Diceros bicornis minor: one gene and its partners. The protein of the gene in region 3 purifies or fractionates together with the protein of the main gene of each other region. This does not show direct contact. Links are inferred from orthologs where the notes say so. Each region holds a gene or a part of one and is shown on either strand. Other genes may lie near its edges. The genes, in order: UBXN8, UBAC2 and TBC1D15.

The links.
Region 1: the proteins of TBC1D15 (region 3) and UBXN8 purify together in Homo sapiens (affinity purification with mass spectrometry; 3 studies listed by BioGRID and IntAct, counting the BioPlex papers as one, with this or other methods). This does not show direct contact. The link is inferred for Diceros bicornis minor from reciprocal best matches to the Homo sapiens genes TBC1D15 and UBXN8.
Region 2: the proteins of TBC1D15 (region 3) and UBAC2 purify together in Homo sapiens (affinity purification with mass spectrometry; 3 studies listed by BioGRID and IntAct, counting the BioPlex papers as one, with this or other methods). This does not show direct contact. The link is inferred for Diceros bicornis minor from reciprocal best matches to the Homo sapiens genes TBC1D15 and UBAC2.

The regions. Positions count from the first base shown.
Region 1 is NC_080768.1:28,408,442-28,418,884, forward strand, and holds the start of UBXN8 (UBX domain-containing protein 8), read left to right. Parts: upstream 1-6,473; 5' UTR 6,474-6,511; coding exon 6,512-6,599; intron 6,600-10,443. UniProt on the Homo sapiens protein: Involved in endoplasmic reticulum-associated degradation (ERAD) for misfolded lumenal proteins, possibly by tethering VCP to the endoplasmic reticulum membrane. May play a role in reproduction.
Region 2 is NC_080748.1:75,200,922-75,211,614, forward strand, and holds the start of UBAC2 (ubiquitin-associated domain-containing protein 2), read left to right. Parts: upstream 1-5,890; 5' UTR 5,891-6,319; coding exon 6,320-6,350; intron 6,351-10,693. UniProt on the Homo sapiens protein: Restricts trafficking of FAF2 from the endoplasmic reticulum to lipid droplets.
Region 3 is NC_080764.1:46,924,666-46,935,023, reverse strand, and holds the start of TBC1D15 (TBC1 domain family member 15), read left to right. Parts: upstream 1-6,011; 5' UTR 6,012-6,060; coding exon 6,061-6,090; intron 6,091-10,358. UniProt on the Homo sapiens protein: Acts as a GTPase activating protein for RAB7A. Does not act on RAB4, RAB5 or RAB6.

The DNA of each region.
Region 1 (10,443 bases), on a different chromosome or scaffold from region 3:
TCCCATTATTTAGGAAAAAAATAAACTACAAAAATAAATTAATTTCATAAACCTAAATATAAAAGCTAAAACATAAAGCTTTTAGAAGAAAACAAAGGAGAATCCTTCAACTTCAGGGTAGGCAGAGGGTTGGACAGGACATAGAAAGGAATAACCATAAAAGAAAAATCTGATAAATTGGTCTTCAAACTTAAAAACTTCTCATCAAAAAATCATTATTAAGAAAATAAATAGGGGGCTGGTCTGGTGGCGCAAGCGGTTAAGTGCACGTGCTCCACTGAGGGGGCCAGAGGTTCGCTGGTTCGGATCCCGGACGCGCACCGATGCACTGCTTGTCTAGCCATGCTGTGGTGGAGTCCCGTATAAAGTAGAGGAAGATGGGCACGGATGTTAGCTCAGGGCCAGTCTTCCTCAGAAAAAAAAAGAAAAGAGGAGGATTGGCATCAGAGGTTAGCTCAGGGCTGATCTTCCACACACACACACACACACACACACACACACACACACACACAGGGAATAGGTAAGTTACAGACTGAGAGAAATAGTCACAAAACTTAGATCTGACTGGTATTGAAACTGAGGATGAAGGAGTTAAAATTTCCCTGGATTAGGGTGAAACTGTGCCTGTACCCACAAGGTTAACGTGGGAAACAGAGTAACCAAAGTTTCTGAGCTTGACTTGCAGAAGAGCAGAAGGGCTGCTGCTAAGACAGGAACTTGCTGGCAGCTCCCCGCCTGACTAAGCATCTCACTGACTAAGCATCTCACTGGAGCACTGAGAAGCTACAATGACTGATTGTAAACTTTAGCCACATGCTGCTCCTCCCCTACGTAAAGCCCCAAATAAAAACCCTTGCTTGTAGCTTTTCGAGGAGTTCGGGATTACAGCATTAGCTGCCCATTCTCCTTGCTCAGCGCTTTGCAATAAAATTCCTACTTTCTTAGACTACACCCATTGTCAGAGGTTGGCTTGCTGCGTGACAGGTGAGCAAACTCACTTCAGGTTTGATATCAGTATCAAGGCTCCTACAACTCATTAATGCGAAAGAGAAACAACACAATTAAAAAGATTTGAATAGACACTTTGAAAAGGAAGATAAATAAATGGTCAATAAGCACACAAAAAAGTCCTCAATGTCATTAGTCACCAGGGAAACACAAATTAAAGCTACTATGAGAAATCACTACATATCCACCAGAATAGCTAAAATGAAATATAGTGACAATACCAAATGTGGGCAAGGATGTGGAGAAACTGAATCACTCATACATTGCTGGTGGGAATATAAGATGATATAGCCACTCTGAAAAATAAATATGGCATTTTCTTACAAAACTAAAGGTGTGTTTAGCAGATGACTCAGCAATTGCACTCTTGGGCATTTTATCCTAGTTAAATGAAGTTAAGTTAAATGAAAACTTAAGTTCACACAAGGACTTGTAGAGCCAGCCCTGGTGGTCTAATGGTTAAGATTCAGTGCTCTCACTGCTGAAGCCTGGGTTCATTTCCCGGTCATGGAACCACACCACCCATCTGTCAGTTGTCATCCTGTGGCTCACATAGAGAACTAAACTAACAACTAGGATACACAACCATGCACTGAAGCTTTAAAAAAAAACGTATAAACAAATGTTCATCACAGCTTTATTCATAATAGCGAAACCTGATGTCCTTCACAGGTGAATGGTTAGTCTAACTATGATACATTCATACCAAGGAATATTATCCAGCATTAAAAAGGAATGAATACTGATATACACAACTTGTTTGGATCTCAAGGAGACTATACTGAGTAAAAAAAAAGCCAATCTCAAAAGGTTACATGCTGTATGATCCCACTTACATAATATTCTTGAAATGACAAAATTAAATAGATAGAGAACAGATTAGTGGTTGCCTGGGGTTTGGTGGTGGTGAAGGACAGAAAGTGAGGCGACCATGGCTATAAAAGGGTAGAACGAGAGGCTCTTGTGATGGAACTCTTCTGTACCTTGACTGGTAATGGTCACTCAAATCAACCCAGGTGATACTATTGCATAGAACTAAATACACACATACAAATGAATATAAGTAAACAGGTAAAATCTGAATAAGTTTGGTGGATTGTGTCAATATGAATTTTCTGTTTATGATATTGTACTTTGGTCATGCTCAAATTTACCATTGGGGGAAACTGGGTAAAAAATGTATGTGATCTTTCTGTCATATTTCTTATAACTCTATGTGAACCTATAATTATCTCAAAATAAAAGTTTAAAAAAATGCTGTGTGAACAAAATCAAATCCAAAGGGTAGATTTTGTATAATTCCTTTTATATAGAAGTCCTAGAAGAGGCAAAGCTAATCAAAGTAAACAATGGTTACCTTCTGGGCAAAGTTTTGTATTTTGATAGTGAAATGTGTTGCACTAGTGTATGCTGTTAGAAAAACAAGACAACAGGCCCAAAATGGAGTCACTTATGCTAAGCCCCGTGTCATCAAACCGAGACAATACAGTTTCAGCTCTCCCAGAAATGGAACCACCTGATCAGCACTAGTTAGGTAATCTGTCTGATAGACCCCTGCCATCGCCTAAAGGAAAGTAATCGTGCAATAACCAACCCGCTTTTTGGGCTAATATAACTTCCTTGTTCCTGCTCCCTTCTGGCTATAAAAGTCTTTCATTTGTACAGCTCCACAAAGCTCCTTTCTATCTGCTAGATTGGATGCTGCCTGATTTGAACTGATTTTTGCTCAAATAAACTTTTAACACTTTTAATATGCCTCAGTTTATCTTTCAACAATGCTTATATTGGAACTCAAGGAATGGTACAGTTAAGATGTGTATTTCATTGTGGTTAATGATATGCATGCTGAAGTATGCATATCGTAAGAAGTATGCATATGCATATGATATAGTTAATGATATGCATGCTGAAGTATTTGGGAGAAGTGTACTAATGTCTGCAGCTTTGTAATCCATCAAAAAAAGATAGATTGATGAATGGATAGATTGATAGATATGTGATTAAATATAATAAAATATGGTGGGTATATGGATACCCACTGTAAAATTTTTTCAACTTTTATGTCTGAAAAATTTCATAATAAAATATTGACAAAAATTAACTAGTTGATTTTTTTAAATGCAAAAATTCCAAATGTTAGGTCACAAAAGCAGCTTGGATACACTTAATACTTACAATTGAGGCTACATTTTAATAAACATTTGCCCCTCCCCAACCAAATATGATTATAAGTAATTTTAAAATGTGTTGACAATCCTATTTTTTTACACATAAAGAAAACAGGTTGCATCACTTGTTAAATAAGAAAAATGTGACATTTGTGTTTTAAGAATGTTAATAGGGGGCCGGCCCTGTGGCGTAGCAGTTAAGTGCGCGCACTCCACTGCTGGCGGCCCAGGTTCGGATGCCCATCACGCACTGATGCACCGCTTGTCAGGCCATGCTGTGGCGGCATCCCACATAAAGTGGAGGAAGATCAGCACGGATGTTAGCTCAGGGCCAGTCTTCCTCAGCAAAAAAAGAGGGGGATTGGCAGATGTTAGCACAGGGCTGATCTTCCTCACACACACACAAAAAAGAATGTTAATAGAGAATGGTTTAATATAAACTATCTAGATATAAAAACCCCTGTCTTATACCGTACTCAACGGTGTTCATAAGATTTTATTGTGAGAACTGAGACATCTGTAGCCCATAGCTTAATTAGCACTGCTAAGAACTAAGACCTTACATCAGTCAACATGACTTGACTATTTGTTCCAGAAAAATTCTTGCCCACAAAGATAGGCTGTAAATCAGTACATAATTTCACTGTTAGCTTTAGAAACTCCCTGAAAATCCATTTATTTGAACAATAGGTTGCTCATCTGGGTAAAAAGCTTCCCTCTCAGAGACTGAGAAATTGCATTGATCACTCAACTGGACAAATCCCCTTCCTTATCAAAAAAGGGGGCAAATCTGCCTTCAAGTCTCTCATCTTGCTGGGTGCACCAGTCCTAAACTACTAGACCATGCACCATATCCAATCCCAATGAGATCCCTGCATGGAAAAGGCCACCTTAAACTACTCCAATCTAGACTCCAAAAACCCTATAAAAATCACCCTTGACCACCCCTGTGAAACACGACTAAGATTATCTCAAAATAGTGTTCTCCCTAAATGCAGTAAGTGAGAAACTTGGTTTTACTCTGTGAAAAATAATAAACAGAAACCTCATTTAAAATGGAGTGAGGATGGTGCCAGCCCAGTGGCATAGTGGTTAAGTTCCTGTGCTCTGCTTCAGTGGCCCAGGGTTCACCGGTTCAGATCCCAGGTGTGGACCTACACACTGCTCATCAAGCCATGCTGTGGTGGCATCCTATATATAAAGTAGAGGAAGATTGGCACAGATGTTAGTTCAGGGCCACTCTTCCTCAAGCAAAAAGAGGAAGATTGGCAATAGAAGTTAGTTTAGGGCCAATCTTCCTCACCAATGAATGAATGAATGAATGAATGAATGAATAAATAAATAAATAAAATGGATCAAGGAAAGCTCTCACACATTTACGACTCATCATCAGTACAGACCCCAACAGGAAGATAGGTACCTTGCATCTCCTGCAGGAAGTGATACTACTCTACTCTACTAGAAGGAGGAAGGAAGATTCTCTCCTTGCCCAGCAACAGCTCAGCCAATGAGAGATTGTCACGACTCAGCCAATCAAAAGCCACCTTCTCCTCTATAATAGAATGTTCCTCTCCTTTGTTCTCCAGACTTGCTTGTGGTTCACTGTAGATTGCCCAGCTAGAATTGCAATTCTTTGCTGTTCCATAATAAACCCACTTTTGCTGGTAAAATAACTGACTTATTTTTAAGGTCAACAACTCAGAACAGGTTATTCTAGTGATCTTTTGGGAGGAGTGAGCAGTACACAATTGCAGTGAAGAGATTTCACCATCAACAAAGTTTGGGAAATGTGTAAGACTCCAAGCAAATCTAGAGTACTTGGGAGTCTCCACTTTATTGTTCTGACAGAGATTTCACTGGTGCCATTGACAGATTAAATTAGGAATATAGAAAGCCAGAGAGGAAGAAATACCTAAAGGAGGAAATCATACCAACATGAGGACAGTGAGAGCTGTAGAACTTCCTTTCTTTCCTGTGTTCATGCAGGCAACAAATGAGAACCTCTGAATGAGTCAACATAGCTAATTATTTAATTGGTATGTCATATTATAATTTATATTACTTCATCCCGATTGATTTTGAGATTGTGCCCTCATATTTTGCACCTTCACTCCCAGAATAAAGTTCTTAGCCTATATACAAAGCACAGTCTTCTGTCGTGCTAGCTCCAACCTACTTCTGGGGGCCTCCATTCAAACTTTAAACTGCAATATTTGAACGGCTGGTAGTTCCTCTGCATTGTTTCCTAAACTTAAAATCCCACTCTTCCTATTGTCCTCTCCCCCCACCCCCCTTCCTCACCTCTACAACACCATTTAGGCATGATTTCCTTTGGGAAAGCCTTCCGCCATGTCCTCAGGGTAGGATTGGGTAGCACCCTGTGCGTATCCCTGTCATAGCACTCAGACACTGTATTTATCTGTTTACAGGGCTGTCTTTCCCACTAAACTGAGTTTCCTGAGGACAAATTCAGTAACTCACACGTACTTGAATCTCCATGAGTTCTGCAGTACCAGGCAAATTGTGAGGCTCAATAAATGTTAGTTGAACTAAATTGAAGCATGAGGTGGGAGGATTGAAGGATGGGTCAGAAAACAAGATTTCAAAGCATGAAATCTTATAAATTGCGAGGACTTCCGTAGCTTAATTGAGTTGCGGGTTGGCAGAAGCGCCATAGAGGTGAGTCAGGGGATGGCAATGACGTCACAGAATAACACCTGTTGGCAAAACTGACAAGGAGCGGAGCAAGGGGTGGCGGGTCTCCAGGATCTGGAACTGGGTGCCAGGGCTCACTTTTGAATCGTCTTCCCACAGGAACCAGAGACCCTGGAAGGGGCCAGGAACCGTGAGGGAGATAAGGTGCTTCAGAAGAGTGGTGCTTAGTAGATCGGACCCCAAAGCCCACAATCACCCTCTACGGACACAAGGCCAAGAGGCCAGGCTGCCTCCTCACAGCGTCAACTGCCCGTACACTTTCTCTTCCAGTTCATTTTACTCTTGAGAGCTTTCGCACAGCCTCCAACAGTCTCACGGCCGAAGGGGCAGGCGCTGCCGGCCTTGCCTCAGGGAGCCGCCTCGCTAGAGCCCGCGCTTCGCTGTCAGAGGACTGGGCCAGGCGGGCGCCAGTGGGGCCGTCTCCCCTGGACACCATGTGACGTGTGCTTCTTCTGACATAAGGCTGTGGATGAGTTCACAAACAGGCAGGGCCGACCAACGACCCAACCTCAGGGTCGGTCTCCACATTCCTCCCTCAGGAAGGGTTCCACTCCACCGTCCAAGGGAAGGTGCCACCGGAAGAGGCGGGCTTTCCGCCCGGGGGCGGGGCTCCCGCCACCATGGCGTTTCGGGGGGTTGTTGGTGTTGTTCTCCTCTCTGCTCTCCCGCTCTTGTGTCTGGAGCTGCGGCGTGGGATCCCGGATCTCGGTAAGTGTTGGCTTTCTCCTCTTGGCGCTCAGCATCGAGTAACTGTCCGATGACGGTTGCGAGGAATTGCCGTCTCCCAGCCGCGTCGCCTCTGGGCGGCTGTGACTACGATTCCCAGGCTGCGTCGCGCTGTCTCCCTCTGCCGGCTTCCGGGTCCCTCCGGGAGCGAGTCTCCCGCAGCCTCGCGGAGGCCGACTCCACTCGGCGGAGAAAGTGTGCCTCCTGACCTGGTGAAGTGTTGCGTGTAAGGGGACAGAGGCAGAAAGCGGAGGAACAAACATAGCCACTACTTGTGTTGAGAGCTCAAAAGGAAACCAACAGAGTGATGTGATGTAGGCCTTCTGAGGAATTTAAGCAAAGATTCAAATGATGAAAAAGAGCCACCCCTTTGAAAAGCGGGATGGGGAGGGGGACATGACAGACAAAAGGAATTATGACATGTTGGAGGAAAAAGATGAAGACCGTTGTGACTGGACCAAGGAGATTTAGAGGGAGAGTGGCTCAAGATAATAACATTCATTGAGCACCTATTATAAGCCAAACTCTTAAGTGCTGTTTATTCATTATCTCATCTAATCTGCGTTACAACCATCGGGGTGGGTACTGTTATAATCCCCATTTTACAGTTGAGGAAGCTGAGACATAGGGAGGTGAAGTGACTTACCTAAGGTTTAAAGAGGTCACCGGAATGGGTGTGGAGAATGTTTTGGAAGGAAGCTATAGTGGAAGCAATGAGGCAAGTTAGGCTTTGAAGTAGGCAAGTAATGATGATGGCTAGACTAGGATGATATCAGAGGAGATGAAATGTGCACAGGTTTGGGATATTTACAAAGTAGAATCAACAGGATTTTTTGATGGATTAATGTTTGGGGTGAGGGAAAAGAGGCATTCAAGGATGACTCCTACATGTGGGGTTGAACAACCCTAAGTAGTTGGTAGTGCCAGTGATAAGGGGAAAACTAAAGGAAAATGGTGGACCTGTGGAGAATCAGTTCGTTATTGGACATACTAGGGATCAGTTTACATGTTTGTCTCCCTCATTGAGCTCAGTTCTCAAGTTAGAGACCATGATGAAACTTAGTTTTGTATATTTCCTCTCTTTCTCTCTCCACCTCCCTCCCCACACCCAAGAAGTCAGGTACCCAGAAATGTTGCTTGAAATAAGAAACTAAAATAAAATGCTTTTTAAAAAATCTACAAAGACCCTCCAGAAGCCTCCTACTTACTCAAGCTGTATTGGAATCTAACAAGACCTTTATCCAAATGATATACAGAAATGTTAATTTCACACTTATTCCAGAATTTACCTGCTCTCCTGCCTTTATGGCATCCACCCTTACTCTGCTCATCGAGAATCTTCTACTTTGCACTAATATTTGAGTCACTAGTCAATGAGAAGGTGGTTACTGAAGGTTGAGGAAGGAGATCTGTTACCACGATCAGCTCTGACCACAGGGAAATACGCTTCTTGAGAGCAGAGACCACATCTAGTTTGTTTTTGTATTCCCATCACTTATCACAATGTTTAATTTAATAAAAGTAGGCCAAAAATTCTAGAAAATGGAACTGGGCTCCTGGCAGCATCTCCATCTAGTTCCTGAAATTTTCACTTAGTTAACTCCTTTCTCCTAGAATTGTCTCTCAGTTGTAACTGGTGGTTATTTACTGTGGTTTCTTGATGTTGGTGCTGCAAATATCTGGTAACAGTATTTAAGTCTATTTTACAAATCATACATTCCAGTGCAACAGCTGCAGGGCTAGTTTTGTGTGGAACAGTATTTATAGATACTAATATTCTCAGCTAGAGCTGCTAATTGAATTCCCAGAGGGGAAAATGGAATTCCCAGACCTGTTCTTTCACCTGGGCTGTGTTTTTGGACATATATTGAAAAATAATCGCTATATTTTTCTGCTGTGTAAAAGCCTTCATTGCCAATACATTTTTACTCGTACTTAAGCTAAATATTTTAATGCTGGTTCCTCAACATTTGTTATCCTTTGAAGAACCCTGCACGTGGGCTCTTGAGAATAGGTACAAAAAAAAACTTAAGGGGCCGGCCCAGTGGCATAGCAGTTAAGTTCACGCGCTCTGCTTCGGCGGCCCGGGGTTCACAGGTTCGGATCTTGGGTGCGCACCAATGCACCGCTTGTCAAGCCATGCTGTGGCGGCCTCCTCTATAAAGTAGAGGAGGATGGACATGGATGTTAGCCCAGGGCCAGTCTTCCTCAGCAAAAAAGAGGAGGATTGGCAACGGATGTTAGCTCAGGGCTAATCTTCCTCTCACACACACACACACACACACAAGTCAACTTAAAAATTTTTTACAGTCATGCATTGCTTAACGGCAGGGATACGTTCTGAGAAATGTGTCGTTAGGCGATTTTGTTGTTGTGCCAACATCACAGAGTGTACTTACACAAACCTAGGTGGTATAGCCTCTACACATCTAGGCTATATGGTACTAGTCTTATGGGACTACTGTCATATATGTGATCGGTTGTTGACCAAAACATCGTATGCAGCACATGACTGTATTTGAAAGGTGTACACACAAATCTAGTTCTTTTATATTCCCATCTGACATTTGCAAATTGCTTGTTTGTTAGAACAAAAAGCAATATTATGGAACATGAATCCCATAACTCAATGGTTTCTCTAAATACCAGTACTCCAGGTATTAAAATTACCTTTGTAATGGCCAGAGTAACTCTAGATTTAATTGTGTTGTATTGAACAACACCTGAATCAGTAGTTAATGCTGGCAAAAATTAGAGGGGCTGTAACACAAAAAAAACATCATTCCTTCTCTTTTTGTTGTTAGTGCCGTCGAATCGATTCTGACTCCTAGTAAGTCTATACAGCAGAGCTGAACCCTGTCCTGTCTTTTTGCACCATCCTCTCACCTTCCGGCACTGTATCAGACAATGCTCCGCTGCTATCCTTAGGGTTTTCATGGCCATGGGTGGCCAGATCCTTCTTCCTAGTCTGTCTTAGTCTGGAAGCTCCGCGGAAACCTGTCCACCATGGGTGACCCTGCTGGTATTTGAAATCCCAGTGGCATAGCTTTCAGCATCACAGCAACACACAGCCACCACAGTATGGCAAATGACAGATGGGTGAGGTGGTTCCCTGACCAGGAAACGAACCCAGGCTAAAGTGGTGAGAGGACCAGTCTTAACCACTAGACCACCAGGGCTGGCATTTCTTCTCTAAACAACTTTAAATTGCTTTAAAAAAAGGATAGCATACTTATCAGTTTTCAGTTAAAAATGAAATATTTAAGTCTGTATATATAATTCCTTCTTTAATTTTTAGTTAATTGACTAAGTACCAGCCCCAATCACATTGGTAAGATGGTTCCTGTGCACCTCTGCCTCGTAACTTTTGAGAATTACAAAGCAAGAGTAAAAATTCCTGATAGAAACCATTTTTAATTGAACTTGTATATCCCCTCCTTCACCATTTAGCAAATTGTATTGCACAAAGCAGGTACTTGTTACGTTTTTGCTGATTTAATTTTCATCTTTGTTCTTAATATAAAACCAAATACTGAATTTTTACTTTTTTCCTAGGCAAACATGTATATAGTAATTTTACTTACAAATGACCAAATAAATATTGAGAAATAGAGAAGTATACAGTTGCATAATTTAACTGTGAGAAGTAAGAATTTAGTGTTTCAGTGGGAATGACTGTTTTTAAATAGAATTAGAATTTGACAAGATGATACCGTCACAATTTAATTCCTAATTATGTGGATAATTTTATTTCCTTATCTGGGCAGAAGGGAAACCAGAATTTATGCATTATTGACAGTCATAATATTTATAATGTAGCCAGGCA
Region 2 (10,693 bases), on a different chromosome or scaffold from region 3:
CTGATGGGCGGCAGTGGATAGACACCCTGGCTGCCTCCCTCTCCGGGGGAATGACCCCGTGGCGCTGGCTCCAGCTGTCCAGTGCTGATTTGTCTGATAATTCACCTCCATCAGCTTCCATCCTTCCCTGCCCTGTCTCGCTTCCCGTTCTCCCAGTGGTCTTTCCTAGGACCGTTCCCAGACAAACTTCAAACTTTGAACTTGAAACTTTGTCTCAGAGTCCGCTTTGGGGGAGACCCAAACTAAAACAGTTGGTGATAGTCTGAAATATTTTTAAAAATTTGATTGATGAAATTTAATGAAGTTCTAATTCTGCTAAAAGAAATCTCAAATGTTCTGTTACATTTTGTTGCTTTTACAGGAACTGCTCCAGTGCACTGAAACCTTCTTCACCTAAATATGCGGTTGAAAATCCTATAATAAATATCGTGGCTCCCATTTTAAAGAAGGGCAAATGAAAGTCTTAGCGGAATCAAAAACTTCTTATAACTAGATTCTTTTGTCCCCCAAATCATTTTTTAGCTCAATTAACACTTCCTGCAAACACTGGCTAATATGTTGCATCATTTTCAAGTGGATTAATCACCTAATCCGATATCATAAATCCATACTGATCTTTAGATCTAATCCTTATGTTTTTAAATAGAACCAAAGTTAGCAATATAATCCCAAACCAGTATCCTTAGACTGAGTTATATCTGCTACAGATAATGGAATTGCGAAAATTCTGGGCAAGAAATCTTCTCTTATGGACATTGAGGGTATAATGCAAAGTGAAATAAGTCAGAGGGAGAAGGTCAAATACCGTATGATTTCCTTCATTAAGTAGTAGATAATAACAACAATAAACAAACACATAGGGACAGAGATTGGATTGGTGGTTACCAGAAGGGAAGGGGGGAGGGAGGAGGGTGACAGGGCTAATTCGGTACATGTGTGTGGTGATCGGTTGTAATTAGTATTTTGGTGGTGAACATGATGTAATCTATGCAGAAATAGAAGTACAATGATGTACACCTGAAATTTTTAGAATGTCATAAACCAACGTTACTGCAATAAACAAAAAATTAAAAAAAAAAACCAAAAAAAAAATCTTCTCTTAAAATGATGTAAATTTGTTGAAAAATCTCATGACAGTTCCTTCCTCTTTAGTAATATCAATCTCATTTCCTTGCAGTTTGACTTCATTTAACATTTCTGATACATATGAAATATATGTCAAATCATTTCATAATATTTTGATACCATTATTTAATTTTTCATTGTTGAAAGAAAGAAAAACTGCACATTAGTGTTAAAGAATAAATAAAATATTTTAAAACAATTTTGTTTGGAATACCATCTTCTTTCCATATGTAGGATAAGACAAACTCTTTTCACAGTCATTGCAAAGACTACAAAATAATCTCTTATTCAAGGCACTAATTTTATTACTAGCACTGATAACATTCATTGATTTGCGGGTCTTTCACTAAGATTTTTGGTGACTGAGGTCATGGATGAAAAACTCAATAACCTGCTAACACGGCTGTTGCTACTTTTAAGTTGTTTACAAATCCCTGTTACAAGCTGACCACAGTGGCTGCTCCATCTGGTGCACAATGACGTTGGAAAAGGAAAAAGGTTTTCTTTTGAAATAGTTTTTAAGAACTTCAAATATTGACAACTCTTAGTATCCATTGTTTGTATATATGGAAATGAATTTTCTGCTCAATGTTTTTATTTCCCTGAAGCTTACATCTGTGGTCAGCAAAGCCTGAAACATACATATGATAATATATGTTATCATACAGGTTACTTGCATTCACTTGCAGCAAACATTTTCCCAACTTTAGATCATTTCATAGCCCATTTTCTACCTCTTTGTATTCCTCATAGATCCTTCTACATAAAACATTATTGCTCAACAGAATAGAAGAAATCATTTAAATTTCTTACTCTCATAATAATAACCTCTTATACAGACGATAAAATTAACTTTTTTCCTATATTGTTTGGATTAACAAACATTGCTATCATTTGTGCTATTCTATAAGAAATGGTACCTTATGTCCTTTAGATTAGATTAAAAAAAATTTCAGAGACAATACTATGTTTTCAAACTTTCCTTAAATCGCTGAAGTTTCTATCTTTGCCAACTCTGTCTATCTTTATAAGGTATTCACTTAATCTTGGTGGGTTCATCTAGATGAATTAGAAAAAAACTATGTCAATATGGACTCTTTCATATATTCAACTGAATATTCTCAATACCTTTTCTTAATATTTAAAATTACATGTATTTTTTAAAATAAGGGCTAAATTTGTACATCTTTGTGAAAGATAAAAAATCACTAAGAATGCACCAGCCATAAATGTAAACTGATACTGGTGACTCAAATGCAATGAACAGGGTCGTTGTAGGTGGTGTGGTGTTTTGAATTAGTGAACAGCTCTTCATTAAGTTCCAAATAACAGCCAAAACAGTATAAGTTGCTTTCCTGGAAAATTCAGCATGAATTAAAACTCTGCAAAGAACACATGTTTACATGTAAAATGAAATTGGTCCTAGACTCAAATAAATACAAACACGCTTTTACTTACCTAAGAAGCATGAAGTGGGAGAGTCAAAAGTTAGTTAGGAAAGAGAACAATTTGTTTTTTTGTGAAAAGATCGTGTCTGGCATCGCCACACCCCATGTGGCATCTCCCAATTCATTGTGACCATCGAAAATACCCTTATGAATTTTCAAAATGCTCCCTGCGCAGTAAACATCTATTATGAATCACGAGAAAGATGTAACTACTCTTTAAAAAGCTTCCAGACCTATTTTCTCATAAATATTAATTTCATAGATATTATATACTGAAAGTTCGTTTGAAGCAGTATGAAGGCTACTTTATCCAAGGATTGACCATCAGTCCTAGTCAATATCTACTAATTCCTCCCAAAGGTTGCTGACTAGAATCCCTGGGAATTTAGAAAGGGACTCCCCTGCCAGAATATGGAATAGGATATGGCCCAGCAGTTCCAGTCACAGTAGCTGTCATCTGTTCAGAACTTGATACTTTAGAAGTTTGTGATTCTTATTTTTGTTGCTGTTGTTGGCCCCCTCTACTATTTAGTAATCTTTAGGAAAACTTTCAGTCTATCTCTGCTATATGAAAGGAACGCTATGCTAAAGGCAGGGTGAAATACACGGGAAGGGGCACTTATCAGGGATGTTTTGTCAGCAACTTTCCCCCAGGACTCACCTGCAGATTTTCTTTCTGATGTTAAATACCTTAGAGATGCTGTGTTTTAATTTATTAAAGGAAGACAATGACTTCACACCAAGAGACTCAAACTGGGTAGGATACAACACTTTGTAAAACACATTCCTGCCTGGTAGGGCTCACCCTTTCAAGCTTATCACTATTACCCCAGTGTAGAAAGCAGATTCAACATGACTTAGTAAGTTCAACAAGACTTAGTAAGGCAAACAGTGATTCCTAGTAATTGACACAATGAGTTTCCCATAATACAATCTAGAGAAGAGACAGGTGGAAGCATAGGCAAGGACAATAGAAATGATATACACTAAGAGTCTGGGACTGCATGATAAAGATTGGATGAATTACACTAGTGTAGGGTTTCTCAATCTCTGTACTACTGACATTTTGGGCAAGAGAATTCTTTATTGTGGGAGGCTGCCCTGTGTATGGTAGAATGTTTAGCAGCATCCCTGGCCTCTGCCTGTCAGATGCCAGTAGCGACTCCTCTCCCAATTGTAACACCAAAAATGTCTCCAGGTATTAACAAGTGTCCCCTGGAGGCCCAAATGGCCCCCTGTTGAGAACCAATAGAGCTTCTCAGACTTTAATGTGCATACAAGTCACCTGGGGTCTTATTAAATGTTGCTTTAACAGGTTTGGGGTAGGGCCTGGAACTCTAGTCCAAACAAGATCCTAGGTGAGGCTGACGCTGCCCATCCAACAGCAACACTTGCTTCTTGGAAGACAAACCCACAGACTTCTACAGTCAACATGTACAGGTCCTCAGTGCAGAGCAGATGTACATTCAAGGTATGGGTCACTGAAAATACTTTTAAGCAAGGTCGACATCCCATATTAAGTTATCAGGCATTTAGTTGTAAAGAATGTTTGTAGAATTGAACATAAATAAGTGAAGGGTTTGTTTTTGTCTTTGTTTTTTTAAGCTTCAGAGTGCTTTATCTCCTATTTCAGCAGTTCTCAAACTTTTTGGTCTTGGGATCCCTTAACACTCTTAAAAATAATTGAGAACTGCAAAAGCTTTTGTTAATGTGGGTTTATATCTATCTGTATTTACCATATTAGAAATTAAAATTGAGAAATTAAAAAAAATTATGAAATTCATTTAAAAATAACAGTAACATACCCACTACATGTTAACATAATGAACGTATTTTTATGAAAAATCACCGTGCTTTCCCAGGCAAAAAATTATGGGGAAAAATAGCATTATTTCACATTTTTGCAAACGTCTTGAACGTCTGACTGGATCCTCAGATCTGCCTCTGCTTTCGGTTTGTTGTGATACACTGTTCTTGTTGAAGTATATGAAGAAAATCCATCCTCGCACAGATATGTAGTTGGTAAAGGAAGCATTTAATAGTCTTTTCAGGTAATATGGCTGTTCTTTTTTGACACTACACCATAACTTAAGAAGTGGTAGTTCCTTAAAGATTAGTTGCAATGAGGACTCTGAAACCATATCAATGAACTTTTTGTACTGTTACACTAAAACTTGTTGGTTTATCTTACAGTTTGAATTGATCTTTTCTACTCATGCATGATTTTGTAACATCACGCTTTGGTCAACTGGAAAGTATTGGTTCACTAAGTTATGCAACCCTTCCAACTGTACAGTGGAAAACGCCACTGTATACTCTGGAGTGAATAAGAGTAAAAAAGACAAATAATGTCTTATTATCATTATGAAAATAAATTGGCCTTTTGGATTCCCTAAATGGGTGGGAGGTCCCACACCTACTTTGAGAACCACTGTTCACAGGTTTTGTAGCCAACCAACAGCTTCTGCAAACATAAACGACATTTAAAGTATCAAAGGACCTTTAAAGTATCGTTTCATTGCAAAATGACTCAGTTGAATGAATCTAACGTTAAATGTAAAATGTCTTTCAAGATCATAAACTTTACGAGTAAAGAAAAGCCTACAGAAAATAAAAGGCACATATACTCTTGTCTTGTAGAAATGATCAGTGTTAATAATTCTGCCCACTGGCACCCCTTCTTAAGGGCAGAGACTGTGTTCTACTGATCGACAAACTCCAGATTTAGCACAGTGCCTGGCCCTTAAAAGCACTCAAAACGTCTTTTTTTAAAAAAAGTATGCTGTCCATAATTTTGTAGCCTGTCCTTTTCATTTAGCCTTGTAGTTGTTCAACTTCCCCATAATACGTATTCTTTAACGACTGCGTAACATAAAACGTAAAGTTTTCAGGCTCAAACTCATTTAAAAAATCATGACTTTGCTTTTAGCAAATAGTAATTTCATTTCTCAAAGGGGAAAACATAAATGGCCCGGGCGCAGAAGTTTGGGGAGCAGGGTCGCTCCCCACAGACTCGCCACGCCTGGGACCCCCGACACCGCAGTGAGGAGGGGTTGGGGTCCCGGAACCATGACTCTCGGCGCTTTTTGTGGGGATTCCGCGTGGGACCAACATGGGAAAACGGGGCAGCTGGACCACCCCACTCTCCGCGACGGGGAGGGTCGCCCAGCTCTGGCTCCCCTTTCATCCCCACAGCGGCTTCTCGCCCTTGACTGGACACCGGAACTCGAGACAGTTTATCAACAATCTGCTGGGGAGCGAGCTCCCGGGGACGGCCCAGAAAGACTGAGCATGCGTGGAAGGCGCCGGGCATCCCGTCCGGGGAGAGGTTAGAAGTCGTGAGGAATGTCCCCGCGCCGGCATTCCAGAGGAATCCGCTGCCATCGCGGCTGCACAGGGCGTGTGGGGGGCGTTCAGCACCAGTGTGCGCCTCACGGGAGTTACACCCCCGCTCCTCCCACGCCGTGCCATTCTTTTTCCCGAGGGCACCCGCGGCCGTCGGGAAAACCTGGAGAGGCGGACTCTTCCCGCTGTGGACGCACCTCCCTCTCCCGGCAGGAAGGGAGCCGCGGACAGAGCCCTGTGCCCCACGGGCCGCGCATGCGCCGTTCACAGGCGGCCTCTGGAATGGAATAGAGTCTCCGGATTCGCCGTCCCGCCGGCTGTGCGCCTGCGCAGTCGCCAGGTCCCTCCACCTCCGCTTCCCCTCCCCTGTCCCCCCACGGGGCTCCGGGTCCGGCGGGACCATGTTCACCAGCACCGGCTCCAGTGGGTTTTGTGAGTACCGGCCACCGCCATCCTGGCTGTCCCCTACACGCCACCCTGCGCACCTCCTTGAGGAGGCTGGGGGCGGCGGGGACTCTCGGGGTTACAGGAGGATTTGGGGGCGATGCTCCATCCTCGCTCCCGAGCCTTGGTGGTTCCTGCCCGTCAGGGGCAGCAGGCACCGCCCCCACCTCAGCCTGGAGGGGCCAGGGGGGACTGAGTCCCGCCGCCAGCCCCGGCCCCCACCTATGAGCCCCAGGTGCGATGCTCAGGTGCTCCAGTGGACTGGGCAGTTAGGGCCGGGCTGGGTGCCCTGGTGTTCTGACCCGGCCCCTTGCCCTCGGCGGCGCGTGTGCCAGGCGGAAAAGAGAGGCTGTCCCGGTGGAGGCGATGCTGGACGCCTGCCCCCTGCTCTTGCTCCCTTACTCCATTCATTTAGGCTACAGAGGACCGAGCTGGCTCTCCCCCAGATGCAAGTCCCGACCCCTGCTTCAGGAGCTGACCCCTCAGTTTTACTTAGATTTCTTTCTTTCTCAGGCCCACTTAAGAGTTTTTAGACAAAGAAAGACTGATTAAGGTACTTTAAAGTGGAAGGAAGTTGTTTGGCAAGAAAGTGGGGACGTTGCTGCTATGATGTTTTACTTGAGTGTCAGCGGTGGTCAGCAGATAGAGGGCAGAGAAGTATTATAGCCTTTTAAACAGCTTTATTTTTCTCATTGAAATTGTTTGGCTTTTGGTGAGGTGACTGTGTGTTAACTAACCAGCAGTGAGATGAGGCACTGACACAGCAACAGTGGACTGTTTGAACAGCTCTGATTTTGCAATTGCTTGTCACTGTTAGTACTTCATATCTCTATACATGTGAAGTTAACCTTGCCCAAGTACAGAAGCAGTTGACATTTCCAAATATTAAAGATCTGTTGTGAATGTTAGTAACCTTTTTCTGAGAATACATGTCTTCGTCTCAGAGTGAGTTAGTATAGATCCATAGGCATAATTTTAAATCTTCCTCATTTCTCAACTTCCCGGGTTTTGAAGTGGGTTTACTATTCATGATTTCCCTTGTTTCATAATTAATTTGATTTATGGCATCTTTCAAGCGTTGGCCTCAGAGTAGGTTACAACTACTAGCTAATTAGTCTTCCCCAAACTACCCTTTGGATAAAGAACATTATAACTGCTGAAACTGATGTCAAGAAGGTGGTGTGGTTTTCCTGGGATCACACAGTGAAGCATTTGCTGGTGGATATGGAATTAATGGTGGAATCCTTCAGTTTAAGTTGGTCTTTCAGCATTTTGAGCTATCCTTCCTTGCTGACCAACATACATAAGTTACAAAGGCAAGAGAAATCTGTTATTGGTTACTATGCCGTTATTTGCCGTTATATTGGCAAAGGTTATTCAAATTTGAGACAGGGTGACTCTGGGGAAGGTAATACTTTATTCCCTATGGCACAGGGTGGATGAATATTGAAATCTAGGAACCAAACTGCTGCCCAGGGAGAGGGCCTGGGCCAAGAGCTCCTCCTCAGCTGTTTTGCCCTGTTTCTAAAGTGTATCTGCAGCATAAGAGTTGATGGGATGACCAGCCCTCAGAAGGCCGTGTCTTATGTGCCCATTTAACAGACATTTTGAGCATCAATTGAGCATCTGTGCTAGGTGCTGGGAGCACAATGTTGAACAAGTCTTGGTCCAGTGTTTACAGTGCTTATGGTGGAGTTTAGGCACAGTTTTCCCTGGACTGGTCTTTTGGTAAGTCTAGGGGTGAGCAGTTATCTTGTTTTAAAATTTTCTTTGCAAGGCTACGCACTGAGAGGGAAGTGATTTCCTTTAGATAAGAAGTGTGGCTCTTTAGTAAGTCAAAGTTCTGGTCCTGAGTAAGTCTTCTGAGGAAGAATAATTCTGCCTACCTCTGCCCACGTGAATGGTGAATGACATTGTCTTTTCGAGGGAAAAATCTCTGCCATTTCCTACCACCTGCGTATTTCCCACAGTTCGTGACTGGTAGATAATGGTGTTTTAGTGTTGCACTCTGCTTTCCTCTCTCTCTCATTCATTTATTCATTCAACAAGTGTCTGTTGAGTACCCATATAAGCCACACACTGTTCGTGTACAGAGGATAAAGTGGTAAACAGGAAAAAGGAGATCAACATCAAATAAGTTAACAGATAATGTGATTTCACATAGTGATAAGTGTTATGAAGAGAATAAGAGGGTGGTGACATAGACTGAGGTTGTGGTGGACCACTGCCATTGTAGTCAGGGAAGATATCTGAGAAGGTGACATTTGAGCTGAGATCCAAATGGTGTGAAGGAGGCAGGGATGTCAGAGTTTGTTGAAAAATGTGCATTTTGCAGAAATGGAACAGCAAGCACAAAGACTCTGAAACAGGCACAGCAGGGCGTCTTCAAAGTTCTAAAGAAAGCTGGTGTCATAAATCAAGGGAAGAGCATTTGTGACCATGTGTTTGAAACTGTCTTGCGGTCTGCCCAGTCATGCGATTGTGACTGGATAAAAGTGCAAAGGAATCATGTTCAAGACTTATTTTAGATTCCTTGCTTATAGACCAGTGCTACCAGTGCTAGCTATGTGTTGAATAATAGATGTATATTTATTACATTTGTTAGTAGGTGTTCCCAATACTTGTTCACTTCACAATATATTCACTGTGTAACGATGGACGCAACCAAGCAACCAACAATAATTGCATGTCTAATGTATTACAGGTATAGTTCCCACCCTAAGGAGTTCAGTGTCTAGAGGGGAAAATTTTTTTTTTTTGTGAGGAAGACCAGCCCTGAGCTAACATCTGCCAATCCCCCTCTTTTTGCTGAGGAAGACTGGCCCTGGGCTAACGTCCATGCCCATCTTCCTCTATTTTATATGGGACGCCGCCACAGCATGGCTCGACAAGCAGTGTGTTGGTGCGTGCCTGGGATCCGAACCGGCAAACCCCGGGCCACTGCAGTGGAGTGTGTGCACGTAACTGCTTGTGCCACTGGGCCGGCCCCTAGAGGGGAAAATTTTTAAAAAGAAATTAAACAACTTCTGTACTTGGTGCCATGGGTTTATTGAAGGGGGTGGGCTAGTGGGGGTAGAGTCACAGTTGTTAAAGACCTTTCAATGTAGGTGATGTTTGAGTGGATGTTTGAGTGATAAGAGTTTGTCAGACATGCAAGTGGAGAGAGAGCCTCTGTCAAGGACAGAGCCTAGGCGGGGCCTGGCAGAGAGGCAGGAGGTAATGACTTAGAGGATTGTTGATGATGGCTGGAGTGAGCAGTTCCTAAGAGATGTGCAATGAAGTCATTCAGAGGGCAGGTGAGAGGAGAACTGGGGACAGAACCTGAAGAGGGAGAAGAGGAGGAGCCTGAAAGGAAGACTGAGGAGTGGCCAAGGCTCCTCCTCCTCAGGAGTACAGACTGGAATGAATGATAGAGCAAATTCCTGAGATGCAGCAGGTGATGATCTAGAGCACAAATCGGGAATGCTTCACCTTTCCCTGGGAGGGAAGATGGGAGATTATTGTTGGTGATGAGAGCAGTGTTTTCCAAATGCTGCCTGCATCCTGGCAGAAAATCAACCATGCAGCTTTCTGAATGTCCAGATTCCTGGCTGCCATGCCCAGAGAGTCAGATTCAGAAGGGCTAATGTAGGCATCAGAAGTCTGAATTTTAAGAGCATCCCTAGGAGATTCTAATGGACAGACAGATTTAGATCAAGGCAAGACGGTGGCCAGCAGAGTGGCAGAGAGAACAGAGTCTAGCGAGGAGATGCTGAAGGCCCTGATTAGGGTAGTAGCAGTGAGAATGGAAAGGATAGAGAAGAAAGATTCTAAAGATGTGTAAGCAGGTAGGTGGTGTCAATAAAGCTTATTGGATTGTGAGGGAGAAAGAGGAGTTGAAGGTGACTCTGGGTAGACAGATGGTGTTACCATTCACTAAGATAGGGAATGCAGAGAAGGAGCTCATTTTGGGGGAAGACGAGTTCAATTTTGGACATGTTTGAAGTTGAGGGGTCTGTAAAGTACAGTTGGAGAGACCAGGGGACATTTGGAGAGAGGGAGCTGGACTGGATGTGGGTAGTTAGGTGGGATAGTTATGCTGTGGATGTGAATGAGGACACAAGGAGCAGTGAGTAGATTAGAAGGCTGAGAACAGAACTTCAGGCAATTCCAATATTAATAAGGGATGGGCAGGGAAAGGGGAGACGGCAGAGTAGGCAGAGATGGGCGTTTCTTTGAGGAAACCTGTCTTCCTTCCCCAGTCCAGTGTGATTTACCCGTTTTCATTGTAAACAAAGTCCCGCAGCTTCTTCACTCTCTCTCACCACAGCGACTCTGATCGCCAGACTCTT
Region 3 (10,358 bases):
TTTAATTTTGATAAAGCCCAATTTTATCAACTTTTCCTTTATGATCATGGTTTTGATGCCAAGTGTAAGAACTCTGCTTAACCCTAGATCCTGAATATTTTCTTCTATTTTTTTGTAATTATTTAAAAAATTGTAAAATACACATGACATAAATTTTACTATTTCAGCCATTTTTTGTTTTTTGGTGAGGAAGATTGCCTCTGAGCTAACATCTGCACCAATCCTCCTCTACTTTGTATATGAGACACCATCACAGCATGGCTTGATGAGCAGTGTGTAGGTCCACGCCCAGGATCTGAACCCACAAACCTCAGGCTGCCGAAGCGGAGCATGCGAACTTAACCACTATGCCACCAGGCTGGCCCTATTTTAGCTTTTTTTTTTTTTTTTTGGTGAGGAAGATCAGCCCTGAGCTAACATCTGATGCCAATCCTCCTCTTTTTTGCTGAGGAAGATCGGCCCTGGGCTAACATCCATGCCCATCTTCCTCTACTTTCTATGGGACGCTGCCACAGCATGGCTTGACAAGCAGTGTGTCTGTGCACACCTGGGATCCTAACCTGGGAAGCCCATGCTGCCGAAGTGGAGCGTGTGCACTTAACTGCTGCACCACTGGGCTGGCCCCTATTTCAGCCGTTTTTAAGTGTACAATTCAGTGGCATTAAGTACATTCACATTTTTGTGCAAACATCACCACTACCCATTTCCAGACTTTTTCATCATCCCAAACTGAAACTTAGACAATGATTCCTATTCTCCACCACCCCTCCGTGACCCTAGACCACTATTCTACTCTCTGTCTCTATGAATTTGACTGTTTTAGGTGCCTCAATAAGTAGAATCATACAATATTTGCCATTTTGTATCTGGCTTATTTCACTTGGCATAATATTTTCAAGGTTCATCCATGTTGTAGCATGTATCAGAATTTCATTTCTTTTTAAGGCTGAATAATACTCCATTTTATGTATTTTGTTTATCCACTCAGCTGTGATGGATTTTTGGGTTATTTTAACCTTTTGGCTATTGTGAATGATGTTGCTGTGAACATTGGTGTGCAAATATCTGTCTCTGCTTTAAATTCTTTTGGATATATACCTAGAAGTGAAATTGCTGGATCATATGGTAATTCTGCTTAGTTTTTTCAGGAATTGCCATACTGTTTTCCACAGTGGCTGCACCATTTCACAGTCCCACCAGGAATGCCCTCAAGATTCTCTTTTGCATTGTATCCCCTGTGTTTTTTTCCCATTTTCTAGATTCAATATGTTGCCCTCTCATAATTAACTGTCTCGTTTTGGTGTCACACAGCCTCCAGTTGCTTCCTGAGAAAGGGTGCATAAAAGATCACAATTTTTTTGAACTTGTGTGTCTGAAAATGAATTGTTTTACTTTCACACTTGATTGAGTATTTGGTTAGGTATGACATTCTAGGTTAAAAATATTTTCAAAGGCTTTACTACATTGTCTTACAGTTTCCAGTGTTTCTACTGTCAAGTTCAAAGAGATCTTTATTCTTGTCCTTTTCATATAACATGTTGGTTTTTTTCCTCTGAAAATTTTTATAACCTTCTTTCAATTTCCATTGTTCTGAAATTTCACAATTATTTCCCTTGTTGCTGGTCCTTTTCATCTACTCTGCTGGGCACTTGGTGGGCTGATTCAATTTGAAAATGCATGGCTGACAGTTCTGGGAAATTTTTTGGAATTATTTGTTTAATCATTTCCTTTCCTCAATATTCTCTGCTCTCTCTCCTTTATTTGGATATTCGATATCCTGTTCTAATGCGCTAATTTCTTAACTTTTCTCTCTTATTTCCATGGTTTTGTCTTTTTGTTTTAATTTCTGGGACATTTCCTCAGCTTATCTTCCAATCCATTTATGGATTTTTTTTCATTTGTTATCATATTTTTAATTTCTTAGGCCTCATTTTGGCTTTCTGAATATTCCTTTACATGGCCTTTTATTCTTGTTTTATGGACGCAAAATCTTCTCTCATTTCTATAAAGGTATTTTTTAGACTTAAAAAGTTTTATTCTGTTCTCTGCATTGTTTGTTTGTCTTCAATTGCTTTTTTGTTAGTTTGTTCATTTTGGTCTTTGCCTTTCAGCTTGCAAGTTTTCTTCAAATGTGGAGTGACCCATGGTTAGCTCTTCATATTTAAGAGACCAGAACCAAAAGCTGATTGGAAGTTTTAGAGATATAGGTGGAGTTTATTGATTTCTGTTCTTCACTGTAGGATGATGTGGTTGGGTCATTTCAATGGAGATCCCCAACTGTCAGTACCTATAGGTCTGATTTCTTCTGTTGTCAATTTATCCAGAGAGAAATCCTGCAGTCTCCTGGCTGTCAGCAAAGCATATGCTATCTTCATGCTACTATTTTGTATAGTTAGGCACTGAAACAAAGTTTTTAGTCTGACTGTTCAAGAGGTCAGGAAAGGTAGAGATCAATGAGTAGTGGTAAAGTTGGGGGAATCTTAATAGATGATGTGTGACGTCATCATAAATCTTGAAAGACAAATAGGTCAATCAGAAACTGAGGTGGACAGAATCAGATTGAACAGGTAATTAATCGCTGTAGTTTAGAGATGGGCGTGATCACTTTCAGCTGATAGTGTAGCACAGCTGACTAAGACACGTATCTGTAATGAAGTCTCTATTTAGCCATAAAGCAGCTCATGACTTTGGCAAATCATTAATGTCTAACAGACTCAATTTCTTCAACCGAAAAACCTGGGGAGACTATCTCTCAAGTCCCGCCTGAGTCTAAAGTTTCTTTAAGGTACTTATTAAGATTCTTTTGCATCATATGACTTTTTCAGTGATGTTCTAATTAGTGAATAACTATGTAGTTCATGGGAGTGAACTTAGAAACTATAAAACCACTCTCATGAAAACAGTAATTTAAGTTATAGGGAACTTGATGACTTTATTTACATTAAATTTATAGGCACACGGCTTTAAAAAACTTGTCCCCTTGTTATACGTAAGTGCACTATGATTTTTTTCTTTCTAATATAGTAAAAAACTAAAATATGAAACAAACTATGTTGAAATCCTGACCTAGTTCCTTCCTTTGCATATAGACAGAGAATATAACTAAAGAAGGAAAATGGTCTCTTTCCTCTTGAATGTAAAGTATAACTGTGCCATTTCTAAATGTGGAGTTGATTTAAATTAATTTGTTAAACAAACCCTTATCTAGTGTCTACTATGCATCAGGCATTTGTGCTAGGTTTGGTGGTCACAGAAATGAAAAGCACCCTCCCTGCCTTGAAAGCAGTTCAGTAAATCACCAAGTATTTTACACTATGATACCCTGGGCGTGCAGAAATGGAGCCTCTGTAATTGATGTCTGCTTTGGCTTGCTCAACAGCTACTTCCTTTTTTTCTGGAATGGTTCCGGGATTTTTCTCTGGGAAATACTCTTCCTCTCATTCCACGTACTTTGAACGGAGCTGTGGGCATATGATTCAAATCAGGCCAATCAGAACATCACATCCTTCGGGCCACGGGATTGGCTCAGGAATGGTCCCATGATGCAGGCCAAGTCAATCTGCCTCAGTCAGAAGCAATCTTGGGATGCAGCACGGCACATTCAGGGAACAGCAGATATTCGGCTATGGCTGGAGAACTGGGTCTGAGTGGGGAAAGTTGGGAGATAAAGCTAAAATGGTAGGCAGGAACAGTTTATGAAGGACCTTGTATGCTATGCTGGAGAATTTGGACTTTTTCTTCAAGAGATGGGGAGCCATTAAGGGATTTTAAGCAGGGAGTTCACAGGATCACATTTATGTTTTAGAAAGATCAATACAGCAGGGATATGAAAAATGGGTTAGGAGGTAGATGAAGTAGAAAGCAAGGGAATGAATTACAATGCCACAGTAGTTGTCCAAACCAGAGGTAATGAGAGACCTGAACCACGGAAGTGGTAGTGGGGACATGGAGGAGAGACATAGTGGGGATATCTCCCATGAGCTCTCCAGAAGACATATCAGAAAGGGGTAACATAATAGCAACCATTTCCTGGAGAAATTGCGCTCTGACTGCATTTCTAGTTCAGCAAATGCCAGTAATTTTCAGAGAACAAAAGCAAAATTTAAGTTTCATTTAAGGCTGTGCTTCTCAAAATTTAATGTGCACACAAATCACTTGGGGATCTTGTTACAGTGCAGATTTTGGTTCAGTAGTTTTGGGGTGGGACCCGAGATTCTGCATTTCTAACACACTCCCAGGTGATGCTGGTGCTACGTGTCTGCAGGCTACATTTTGAGTAGTGAAGGTTTAGGATTTTTTGAGTTGTGAGTGGGTCAAGTAACACCGTCCAGCAGGCAGTAGGTGTAGGCTCTAGAGTTTAGGAAAGAAAGAGAGACTCAGCCTGGAGCTATTTGAGAGTCATTAGCACATAGCAGGTGGTGATGCCAGAATATGAAGATAATGGCTCAGGAATGTGTTTGGAAAAAAAGTAAAAGAAGCCCAAGGATTGCCCATGGGTAGCACCAGCATTTAAGGGGCAGTTGGAGGGTGAGGCTTGAGAAGATCAGGAAGTAGCTGATGAATGTAGGATGCCAAATTTTCAATGAGAAGCCTTTAATTCCCAAACTTATACAAATACTAGCTACCATTTATTGAGTGTTCTATTCCTGACACTGTGGTAAGGGCTTCAACTTTTCTCCAGAACACTGGTGTAATAAATGTCACACTAAAAATTTTCTCTAACCACAACCCATTACTCTGAGCTGGTGGAAAATTTAATCTGGGTTATTAGGGCTTTATACACCACACCCAGGATTGTGTGAAGGTTCTAGGGGTCTTCCTCAGTCCAGTCCATTTAGGGAAGACCTTCAAGTCTTCACTCAATGCTGGTTCCCACTAATACAGTCATTTCCCAGCTCATTTATCCCTTGCAGGTGAACTGCTTTGCTGATTCAATGTCAAGTTCAGGCCTGCGGTCTTGGCCATGGTTGGGATCTCTCACGCCTAGTGCGCAGCTTCCCTAACGGTGCTACACATTCATTCCCATCTAAGGTCCTGCCACCTCTCTCACCCGTGACGTTCCCAATATTCACAGAACATGCAACCCTTTTTTTCTGTTATTCTCTTTGGTTGCCACTTAACCAACCTCAGAAGCCTCTAATCTCTCTCCACTCTGTGATGAGAGAAGTACCTCAATGGGCACAGGTGTTGGGGTACAAAAGGGACTTTTATTTTGCCCTGGGGCAAGGAAAGTCCCAGATCTTGTGCCAGAGCTAGGGTTGTATCCAACCATTCTCTGACATTCTTTTACAGCGCTGAGAACAAAGCAAGGTAATATCTTGATATCTCAACAAATCATCTAACCTCACATCATTGTCCCATAAGATCACTACAACCACTCTATGGGTAATTCTCATTTTACGTCCTGAAAGCTTGCGTGAATTTAAACTTGTTTTCAGCCACACAGTTATTAAGTAACTGCAAGAGCTATGAGCTAGGCAGCGAGGGCGTGGTATTATCAGTTCCTGCCAAAACACCACGCTGAGGGTCACGTGTGAGGGGCACTCAGCGAGTGACAGACGGGAAAGGTCTCTGCGCGTTTGTGCCTCTGATGGAGGGCTGGGATTCCCTAAATCTTCACCGCGGCCCCACGATCCCAATTCTACAGAGGAGAACCAGGCTGAAGGTGGAAGTGATTTGCCTGTGGCCGCAAAGCCAGGACCAGGTTTGCTAGCTCCTAATACGGTGTTTCCCTCATGCTGAACTGAAGCGGCCTGCCAACAACAAATCTCGCCCCCTGGCAAGCCCCAGGGCAAACACACGCCAACTCAGGCGGGGCCCGCCTAGGAAAAATAAATTGGCACACGCGCAGTATGCGTCAGAGCCTCTACCCCAGAGGCCTCCGAGCCCACTCAGCACGCATGCGCCAGGCCCTCCTCCCGCCCCGCCCCTTCCCTGGCGCCTTCCCGCCACTGCCCGCCCCGTTCCCGCCCGGATGTCAGCTCAGTTTCACCGGATGTTGTTGTGAGTCCAACAGACACGTGAGGCGCTGCTACGTCATCACAGGCACGCGCAGGAAACATGGCGGCAGCGGGTGTTGTGAGCGGGAAGGTGAGTAACGGCCCAGGGCCACCTCTGCTTTTCCCTGGGATGGGGGTGCTTTTGCTGCTTGGAGGCCGCGGCGGGGGCCTTTCCGTATCAGGAGCAGCCTGCGGCGGATGCGGGAGAAGAGGACTTGGTGGGGTCAGCCGTTCTCCCGGGGGCGCCGGCTCGGCCCGAGGGTAGAGAGCCGGCTCCTGCGCCCCCAGCCGGCCTCGGCGCGGGCCTGGCCGCCCTGCGCGGGGCGGTGGCTGCTGCTGTGCTGAGACCTTTCCTGAGGGCGAGTGGTGGCTTAGCTCTTTTCTTTTTCTGGCTCACCGTTTCTGACTCGAGTTATTTTGTCTGCTCTTCGGACTCCTTCGTCTTTTCCCTGTTCCTTTGAGGGTAATCTAACTTGCCCTGCCTTCCTCTGCTTCCCTCTGATGAGGGTTGAAAACAGGTGCTCCGCAGTTGTGCGCTTAGAAGAGTGTGTTGGAGCCATGTGGCCAGACTGCCGAGTCGGTTGTTGGTTGTTAGCAGGAGGGCATGTTTCCACTCAGGGAGTTGGAGATTTACACCATCCCACGCGTGTCTAGGAAGCGTTAGTTAAGGTACTTATTTCCTAAATGTTTCTCTGATGTTCCTGCGGCAGTGTCTGTGGTGCTGTCTTACGGAAGTGGGCAGTGATCCCCCTTCCGGTTCGCTAGGAACTAGGATTAGGGGCGGAGGAGGTTTCGTTGTACAGTGCCTGTTACCCTTCCGAGGGCACATCTTAATGCCCGTTGTCTAGGACTGTCGTGACATGCCACTGGTAGCATTTCCCATTGCGGGAGTACTTCCTAAACAGTGGCGTCTGGTAATGACTCATTCAACGCTAAGGACTATTTCCTTGTCGTAGTACTCCCTCTATTCCTTGAGTTGCACTTATTTTCTCCATACTCCTCTCCCTATCCCGTTTTGAATTATTTGACATCGTTTTGTGGTTTGGTGTATAGACCACTAGACTAGGCGGCAAAATAACAGTTGGTCTTTGTGTTGCTGTGAGTCTGACATGTAACCTTGGGAAATTGAGAAGCATGACTTCTTTGTCCTTCATATTCTTTATCTCCAGAATGGAGGGGATGCCAGTCATTATGTCTTGGATTTGAGTTGTTACGATTACATGAAATAATAAAAGCATCAAAAAAAGATTACATACTTCTACATGCTCGGTATTTGAAATAATAGGTTGGTCATCGTTTTGGGGTTATTCACGCTCTTTGGTTGTCTTGTCAGTTTTGGTGTTGAGAGTGGATGCTGATTGTCTGCTTGACTCACTACATATTTGAAGGTTATCCTGTTTGATATTCCATCTTGACTGATCCAATCCATGTCTTTGCAAGAATGGATCCTTTCCATTTGAACTACACTTCCCATTTTCAGATGTGGGTTGATTTTGAAAGAACTCTTAAGGTGATGACACAGAGTTGTGAAATGTAAGACTTCTTTCACCCTTTGCTTCAAGCCACTACCTTTCATAATCTGACTTAAAATTAGTCTTTTATTTCATAACTCTGCTTCATCACCTCATTTATTCTCACTAATTGCAAATTCACAACCATTTCTATCACTCCATGTAAACTATTTTTCCATGCCAAAAGCTGTCCTTCTTCCAGACAATACTATCATGAACACCAAAACCTACTTATTCTTCCCTCTGTAAGTTCAGATCTAGTTTAATGGCCTCATCATTCATTTGGTTGCTTGTAAAACAAATTTAGAGACGTGCGTTTCTATAATAACATCTAATCAATAACCAGGTCCTACCAGTTTAACCTTAAAGAGTTTTCTTAAATTTGCAGCATCCTCTTTAATGCTTAGTTTATTCAGGCCTTTAGTCAGCCTCTAATCTTGAGTTCTTGGCTGATTTTTCCCCTTGTCTCCAGTCTCTGCCCACAGTCCTCTCTACACCACCACTAGTTATTTTTTTAATGCATAAATCTGATTGTCTCTTGCTTTGAAAAAACAAACAAAAAATCTTTATATTATTACTCTTACCATGGAAATAATATTCGGGGCTGGTTAACATGACATAAAAAGCCATGTTACCTTTCTGGCTTTATCCTCTGCTTCCCGGCTTCCCAGTCTTATTTCTTTGGGAATGGGGAACAGGGAAGAATCTATATATTTCAGAGTGTGTCTGTATTTATTTATTTCCCCCCTAAAGGTTCAGCTAAGACCTGTCTAGTTTAGAAATGTAGGGCAGTGGATGTTAACCAAGGCTCACAAGGATCATATGTGGTACTTTTAAAAAATACTGATGCTGGGCCACAACCCAGCTCTGTTGAATTAGAATCTCTTTCTCACTGTTAAGATCTAGGATTTAGGGTAATTTTTCTAGTAAGTCTTCTTTGCTTACTTTGAACTCTGAGTGTAGGAAGTGATGGAAGGAGGAAGTTAATCTCTGTCATAGGGAGAAGCAGGGAAAGATTTAAGAGCTTGGACTCTGGAGCTAAACTGGTTTCAAAAACTAACTTGACACTTACTAGTGACTTCAGTCAAATTACTTAACCTATCTGTGCTTCAGTCTCCTTATCTGTAATGTGGGGATGATTATAATACCTACTTCATGGGATTGTTGGGAGGATTAATAAGTAAATATATTAGAACAAAGCCTGGCACATAACAGATGCTGTGTAGGTGTTATTCATCATCTTAAATTCCATGCAAATCATTCGTTGGGTATGGCAGAATTTTCAAGATTTAGAATGCAGTTTTTAGTATGGGTGTGAAATTTATTTTTGAGGTTGCTTCTAGTTTTAATTCTCATTGTTATTTTAAGAATTGAAAAATGCCTTGTTTTAGAAGTCATGCAGTTGTTTGTTTTTTTTTGCAGGGAAAGATTTGTCCTGAGCTAACATCTGTTGGCAGTCTTCCTAGTTGTAAGTCCTTCTAGGTCTTCTGTGTGAGCCGCTGCTACAGCATGGCAACTGACAGATGGGTGGTGTGGTTCTGTGACCGGGCAACAAACCGGGGCCACCAAGCTGGCTAGAAGTCATGTAGTTTTGATGACTGCAAAATCATCACAATAGGGCAGTGGTTAAGGAGATGGAGCCTCATTGCCCGGGTTCAAACCCTAGCTCTGCTTCTTTATAACTGTGTTACTTCTGACAGATTTCTTAATGTCCCCATGCTCCAATTTTCTCATTTGTAAAATAGGGGATGATGATTATATTTCCATCATGGAGTTGTAGAAAGGATTAAATGAGTTAATATTTGCAAAGTTTAGAATAGTGCCTTGTGTCAAGTAAGTGCTCAATAAATGTTAGCTGTTATTATTACTGTTGTTGAGGAAGGTCTTTCAGACTGTCTTAAGATTTAAGGTTATGATTCGTTTGGAAATAGTTGGATGTTTATTTTTGCTGCCTTTTTCCACAAAGAGATTAAGGCTGCCCACAAATATAAAAGCAGTATAGTCATGTAAAATGAATTAGGGGGAAAAAGGAAGCAAACGGAAAGTAAATAAAGGTAGGAAAGGTAGAAGGAATTGGAAGTACAATTATTAAATAAACTGTATGCTTTAGTGAGCTACGGTTTGGCTCTAAGTTTTCTAGCAGCCAAAGTAAAGAGGGGAACTTGATCAATTATAAGCATTATAGGATCCACGGGAAAGTAAAACCAAAAGCAGAAACCCAAAAGACTAGTTTCTGAAGATTACATCAAAGAGTAAAGTCCTGTAGTTTCTTTATAGTGTATAATATAGTGAATCTGATTATGTGGCATATTGTATCCTTCTGATAAAAAAAAGTACCCTATAATGCCCCTTAGTATGCTGATGGTTTTATGCCAGTGGGTAGTTCAGTAGTTCAGTAAATACGGGGTACCAATTTGATATATTCAGTTCTCTGATGCTTTGACTAAATTCAGGGGTAGATTTTTGTTGACATGTGTGATGGACTCAGTTTTGCATGTATATTGTTTTTTTAGCTGAGCTTTTGAAAGTGAGTTTGAGTTTGATTATAAACCTTAATTAGTTCTTAGAGTTCAGCTGTTCTTTGTTGCTATATATGTGTAGAACCATATGTTTTCATACTCAATCAAACAGGGGAAAGAGTGACATCCTCTTGTGAATACTGGGGGAGAAATAGGGACACTGCCTGTAAAGGCCATTCTACTTTTTCTCTAACGGGTGAACAGAGTTGAGTTAATAGAATGAGTTGAATTTACCAATTAGAGAAGGTGGGAGAGAGGAGGTTTTAGCCTTATACCCAGTGCCCCTGATAATGGTTACAGTTTACTTTCATTCACTTATTCAACAAATA